2 linked regions of the Styela clava genome follow. The protein of the gene in region 1 purifies or fractionates together with the protein of each later gene. This does not show direct contact. Links are inferred from orthologs where the notes say so. Each region holds a gene or a part of one and is shown in the gene's direction. Other genes may lie near its edges. The genes, in order: 26S proteasome complex subunit SEM1-like and ubiquitin-protein ligase E3C-like.

What was found.
Region 2: the proteins of 26S proteasome complex subunit SEM1-like (region 1) and ubiquitin-protein ligase E3C-like purify together in Homo sapiens (affinity purification with western blotting; 3 studies listed by BioGRID and IntAct, with this or other methods). This does not show direct contact. The link is inferred for Styela clava from reciprocal best matches to the Homo sapiens genes SEM1 and UBE3C.

What each region holds. Positions count from the first base shown.
Region 1 is NC_135260.1:14,916,694-14,920,100, reverse strand, and holds 26S proteasome complex subunit SEM1-like, read left to right. Parts: upstream 1-1,523; 5' UTR 1,524-1,647; coding exon 1,648-1,872; 3' UTR 1,873-2,773; downstream 2,774-3,407. Other genes in the region: thioredoxin-like protein 1, read left to right, coding at 2,813-2,907, 3,155-3,251. UniProt on the Homo sapiens protein: Component of the 26S proteasome, a multiprotein complex involved in the ATP-dependent degradation of ubiquitinated proteins.
Region 2 is NC_135250.1:32,497,876-32,501,813, forward strand, and holds the start of ubiquitin-protein ligase E3C-like, read left to right. Parts: upstream 1-1,345; 5' UTR 1,346-1,585; coding exon 1,586-1,651; intron 1,652-2,710; coding exon 2,711-2,770; intron 2,771-3,938. UniProt on the Homo sapiens protein: E3 ubiquitin-protein ligase that specifically catalyzes 'Lys-29'- and 'Lys-48'-linked polyubiquitin chains.

The sequences.
Region 1 (3,407 bases):
TAATAACCAATGTTCCCTCTAATTTTTTGTAGTATGTGTGCGCAGAAATTTTGGTGTGTGCGCACTTTTTTGGAAATGAATAATATTTGTGCAAAAACCAATGAAGAAATTTTGGTGTTCTAACCGGGTAATAAGTGGGCCAACAACAAACTTTCTCAACCTGCCAATCGAGAACATTGTTACATTACATCGAAATACGTCTGTGTGCAGTAAATCTATGCGTGTGCGCAGCCTCTGAAAGCTGTCCTGTGTGCACGCGCACACCTTAGAGGGAACACTGCTAATAACCAACCAGTATGATTAATCAAAGCTTTCTACATCTTTTCACTACCCACTGAGATTTTTCTTGCGACCCACCAGTGGGTCCATAGTTTGGGAACCGCTGATCTACGGTATTTGTTATAGTAAATTTTTTCATTTCTGACGAGGCTGTGAGACGAGGCGACAGTTCAAAACAAGATTAAGCTGTTTTATAGACCTTACTTCAATTTCAACCAGTTATTTTATATGCCAAATTTAATAATAGATGCCAACAAACAAAAGCAAAGCACAAATGCATTAGAGTTCAAATATTAAAAAGGGCTAACTTAGTAATGACATGCCTGGCTGCTCGCAATGACACATGTCGCTAATTGCTCAGACACTCTATTAGTATTACTCATGAGTCTGAAGATTGTACACTTTTAAACTTTATGATAGAAAAAAAAAAATCTGAAGATTAAGCCGTGCAACCTCCCAGTACAGAAGAACGGTACCCATACCTGTACCAATACTACGCCTGAACTCGGAGATGAAGAAAGGGATACGGACACGGTACGCACGCAATGCAGAAGGGTTGGCGAAATATCAATCACCTGATTTTCTTTTGTTTCTGTTGATAAATAAATAAAGAAATATTTACGATATTTTATACATTCGCTATATGGCAGCAGAGTTCAGTGAGTGTCGTGTATTATTATGCTTACTCATGCTATGTCATGTTCACAATGTATGTGCGAATGTCCGGGATGAAAGTTGCTCGAAAATCATAAGGCAGAATGGAGATTTGAATAACATGTATAACATATTAATAATATACTGTTGGTAATTCTTTTTGATATTATTTTATTTGTTATTTTTCATTAAAAAAAATAAATGAAAAATAAAAGCCGCACGGCGCGTGAAAACTGTAAGAATATTGTAAGATAAGATTACCTATAATGCCTCGTAATTTAATAATAATAGTGAGAAATACCGATATTCATTTTTTTGTTATTTTTTTCTTGTGTAACTTTTGTAAATTTGTGATTTTAATACTGTAATAACAACTCAAAAATCTTATAATCATACCTGCATACCGGTAACAAACTGGATAATGGATTGGATAATAAGTGTAGTATAAGTATAAAATTATTTCCACTCTTTAATTAGTATTAGAATCAGGTGAGTACCGGTAAACAAACCTTAAGTCTGTAAGTATCGTTCAAAATATACTGAATACCGTATGAGATGAAAGGTTTTACAGGAATATATATTAGTATAAACCTATGCTTAGTGCAGTAGTGTGCCCCTTTTTCATCTTTTTACCTAACCTTTACTATCGATTTATCAAATCCTATTATAGTAATAAAACTTATTCTTTAAAAAGTATTCAATTCTTCGAGATAAATGGCTGACAAAGACAAGAAAGATGAACAAAAGCCAGTCACTGAACTAGGATCATTAGAAGATGATGACGAATTTGAAGAATTTCCTGCGGAAGAATGGACCGGGAAAGACAAAGAACCAAAAGTATTTTGGGATGAAAACTGGGATGATGATAATATAGAAGATGACTTTTCATCACAATTAAAAGCTATTTTAGAAAAATCCGGCCAGAAAGTCAAGTCATAATTTTATCATCAACGGCAAATATTGAACAATACAATGTATATTGCTTAACATTGGTACTTGATGATGAAATGGAATTTTCTTTATTGGTATTGATTTGGACAATTTGTTCGTTTTATAATTCAGTAATTAAACCACCTTCTGAACTTACACATGCAATACAAAGTCCACATGTGTATATTTTTTGTTGAATTTAAGGATTAACTTCTGTTTTCAATTTTTATTTAAGTTAGGCGTAATCGAGTGTTAGGAGTGTTTTGTCTATAAATATTTATAGGTACACCACAAGATTTTTTGCAGTGGATAAGTTTGTTATAATGAAGTTGTGTCTGAATTTTATTTTCATCATGAGTTATTTGTGGTACCCTGCACTGAAACCATGCCTGAAAAGTAAATATGATATGCTATAACATTTGAAAGGTAAATCTACCTACATCACCAATTTTTATATCTAGACTTTCATTTGGCTTGCAATTTACACATTGTATAATATGAAATTTGAGTTATTCTGGTGGGAATTGTAACTCTGAATGATGACTGACATTTATTTACAAATTGGACGTAGATGCTCTTCATAATGTTACTTTTTTCCACTAGTAATGTGTGATGAATGCTGTTAACATTCGATTCAATGTAGATTGTCTCAATGTTCAATGAACAAGTAACTATTATTTAGTCAATTTTCGTCATATGAAATATTGCATTTCATGGTTTTGTTTGATATCAGATTGATCTAAAATATTCTCATTGCCAGAATAATTGTTGGATATAATCAGCTATGAAATTCTGCAGATGTTCTGGTTGGTTAATTTATGTTTAATAAAAAAGAGTGTCCTCTGTTTTGTTATAAAATGTTGACCCTTTGAGAAATGTGTGAAAGCTAATCGTTGTTTGTTTTTCCCAGTCGAATTGTTTAATAATCAAATACCTAAATTGATAGAAAATGCCTGTACAACATATAGATAACGACGCAGCATTTCAACTCAGTTTTAACGATGCTGGTTCATCCCTCGTTGTCATAGATTTTTTTGCTACATGGTAAGTCTTTCAGATATAGATAGTAGATATTACATTTGAATATGTAATCGTTTATTTTTGAATTATCGAATTTGTCTCTGAAGTCTGAGTTACTGGTATATTATCAAATTGATAAAATTTAGTTGTTAGAACATTTATGTATGTAATATATTTTCCGAGTGGCATACAGATAAAGTGATAAGAACCTCATTAGTGTTGTGTGCAGTGTTATGTTGTAGAACGATTATAATCTTTTTTATTTTTAAAGGTGTGGACCCTGTCACGCTATTGCTCCAGTATTTGAAGAATTATCAAATCAATATGAAGGAGTTGTATTTCTTAAAGTTGATGTTGACAAATGTTTTGTAATATTTTTGTTTACTGTATTTATTATTTTCTGATTCATTTAACATTGGGCATGATATTATGATAGTAAGTTTGTTCAAAATTGTGTTTAATGATGTATAATAAGAGTGGGTAGATGAATAGGCTGATTGATGAATACGTTTATTTAATAAACC
Region 2 (3,938 bases), on another chromosome or scaffold:
GTGATTTGTTCTTGCAACAATGACTTGTCTCTATTTTACAGATTTCACCAATAGAAAAATCCCTACGTCTGCAATAAAACCACACCGAGTTAAATTCAATTTAGTACCGTGAAAATCGGTTGAATTTACTTTACTTTGTGCCATGGGCACCAGAAATTTTTCAGTTTCCAATTTCTACAACAGCGTTTTTAATCTGTCGCAAGCCTTCTACATCAATCTTGTATGTGTCCAGTTTTTAGTATTTTATATTGCCGCTCTGAAATCCCGATTTAGGTTGCTTGCAGATGCACTTCTTTATCTTTAGCATTATTATATAATGACTCGTTTTTCTCAATGGTTTCACAGTTCCGTATGCAAGGCATATATATATATATATATGGAGGTTGAAGGAAATTTGTGATTATAATCACCGACGTAAAGGTGTTTATGGTCTAAACTCTAAATAACATCTCGAGCTGGCGAAAACAATCGGTCATTTAAAAAAAAATTTGTCGAATGGTATTGCCGACTTTTTCATTTTCCTAAACAAAATTTTGTTCACAGTTAAAGTATACTTTATATGAAATTAAAAAGAAAATGTCCACATCTAGAAACCTGCTCGCGGGCCGGATGAAACGTTGCCGCGGGCCGGACGTGGCCCGCGGGCCGCAACTTGCCCAGGCCTGTACTATGATGTCGGTGGCAATAATTCAACTGGATTTATCGCTCCCTCGAATCATTTTATTTTTGGCGTTTTCACAACCACGATAATTCCACTCTAAAATTATCAAAACCCGGGAGATTCAAATTTTTATTTTCTCCACCTACTTTATTTGTATAAATCAAGACAATTGCTATAATTTATAGACACGAAAGCCACAACGAAGTAATACGGGTACGCAATTTTTTACTGTAGCAGTATCTGTGAACAAACGATCCCGCGACAGAAGAAATTATCTTCAGATGTTACAGTCCCAACGGAATCTTAGCCAATAATAGAGTTAATAAACTGGGCCATGAAGCGCTCAGTCGAGTGATCCAAACTGAGCTCCAATTCGTTGAAGTCACGTCCAAAAGCAATAACTGGATAAATTAGGCTACTTGTCAAAGTCGAGAGGAGGCTTCTAAATATGCTCCCGAGTTCCCGAGTATCCGTATTCCATTCCGTACCGTAAACCTATATAATTCTCAACATAATACCGCAGCTACCAAGTTTCATTTATCTACATCTCACGCAAATAAGACGGTTTCGTGGAGCTTTAAAAATATTCCAACGCTGCCAAACATGAACCAACTTTATAATAGCAGAAGCGTGGACTAATGGCCACCTGTGAAACATCAACCAATCACGTTAAATTCACTTCTGAACGACATAATACTAATTTCGTCGTCACAAACGTTTTTATAATACCGCCAGTGGTGTCGTCATATGAATCGACATAATATTCACTATGACGTAAATGACTAAGCATTCCGACACAAATAAACCCACAAGCGGAACTTGCTGGAAGTCCTACGCTTCAGAATTCACCAGATGTTTTGGGCATTTTGAAATGGGAAAATAACAGGAATCTTTATTGCCAGTGAATACAGGACTGCAGGAAGTATGTACAGTTTTGAAGGAAAATTTCGAACGACGCCAAATGTATCTTTAGGTGGTAAAAGCAAAGAGGTGAGTACCGTACGGTACGGTCTGACTGTACCGGTACCGTACGTACCGGTACCGTATTAATAATAATAATAATCCAAGTCGGGTACCGGTACCACCGGTATGGGATTGGTTATATTGTTTGTTTTCGGAAGCATGGACTTGGTGGTGGAGGAAGCCGCACGGCGTGTGGTTAGATAAGATAAGATTTTATTTCGATTCATTCGCAAAAACAAAATAAACATATATACACCAAAGATTAAGGCGAAGAATCTGGAAAGTGAACAAAACCTAATAAAATAGGTTTAAAACGTATTAAACGCGTTCACTTACCAAAGATTAAAGAAGAAAGAAACGAGTCACAAACACAAACAAATAAACATGAATATTGACGGCAGTCATTACTCAGGCGTTTCACTTGGTAATCAGGTTGTGTGCAATCTTTTCAAAAACAAAAAAGTGAATTCAATATCCGCTGTGCGTGTGATGCGGCATGTAAACAAACAGTCCGAAAAATCCTAGTAGGAGGTGCGAATGCATGTTTCCGTTCCATGCTCAGATGTATATCCAGTAAAATCTACTAAAACGTTAACACACCAATGTAAAAATCGATCGTAAAAAATCCGCGTGCGACGCGCGCGACGGCTGTCGGTACTTGTTATACGGTATTTTAATGGATTCTAATTGATAATTAATTTTATTTGTGTCCTGTTCAGGGTGAACAGAAACCTTCGCCCACCTTCCCACAGAAACCGGCAATAATTCTGAATTCTACAGTCAGACAGTGCTCAGTCTGTCAGTGCGGCGGTGCGGCTCATTGTGCTAAGCGTTAGGAATACGCTCGTCATTGCACCTCTGATTATTCTGCACGGGTTCAAATCCCATGCAAGGATAGTTAGTTATGTGCGAGAGGAATGCGAATCTTCTCTGTATATAATGTATGGTTTTGGCAGATTGCTCTGCACACAATGCCCCGAAATTATTTATACTTACCGGTAATGATTCTACCGAATTTTTCACCCGTTTTCTCAGAGGTAATTTTATATCTATTTACTTTAACTTACCAAATGATGAATTTTTCAGGATAAATTGAACAAGGAAAGACTTCTGCAAAAAGCTCAAAAAGAAAGACAAAAACGAGAGGTTTGTTTATTTTATAATTCTCGTTTTATCAAAGAAAAACGTCTATATCAGGGTTTCCCAAACTGGGTTTCGCAATGACTGCACAGGGGGTCCGCAATGATATGAAGGAAGTCCCATTGATCTTTAATGATCGATTTTAATCCAAAAGCCATTGCATTTATTTGGATGAGCGTTGTGGACAAGTATCCATTGCTGTCATCAAAAGCAATTATAATTTTATTGCCTTTTGAACAACCTAAATGTGCGAGGCAGCATTTTCAGCTCGCTCCGATATGATGACAAAATACAGGTCAAGACTTGCCGTAGAGTTGGATCTGCGAGTTTGCTTGTCACAAATTGCTTTGAGAATCGATAGATTGTGAAGTGAAAGCAACCTAATGCATTACATTATTGTCGTTGTGTTGTAAATGAAACATTATCCTTTCTCGTTGGTTAGACACAGAAATTGATACGGCATAGGATGGGTGTCCGTCAAAACCAAGATTTACAAATAGCGGTTCGCAGCCCAAAAAGTTTGAGAAACTCTGGTTTATATCTGAAACAATGCCAGCAGTTTTTGGATTTAAGTTTAGCCTGAAAAATCTGTATTCAGGATTAACCTATTTCAGACGCCCAATCGAGCCCAATTTTGAATACCCATTTTTATTAATGTCATACGACCCCCAAAATTTACCCAATATACAATAATTATATACCATTGGAAAGGTATTTTAGAGTACTATACGCTAGATGTCACTGGAGGACCGTAAACCAAAACACCTCTTTCAAGAGGTCTCTCGTAACGTCAAAAAATAACAAAAATATTTACACTCTCTCATTCTATCAGCTGTTGGACGTCTATAGCTATTGTAAAGCTGAAATGTGACTATACAGTTGACTGCACATTGGTTTTCTCTTTCATATGATACTAAACGCTTTTCCATAGCGCGCGTTGTTCAAGCGTTTTGGAAATTTTCCGTTTGAGAAGTCACCACATCGAATCAGGCCAGGCTAAGCTTGATAGATCGATCGGTTGTTTGTTTGTGCTTTATCGCGTTGAAAGTTTTTGTGAGTCATAATAAAACATTTATTATGAATCATAAAAGCTTATAATCGTCAGACAAGGAGAATTTGCGAGATAAAACGCTTAACTTTTTTCTGTGAGGCAGCTGCGATCAAACGACTTGAT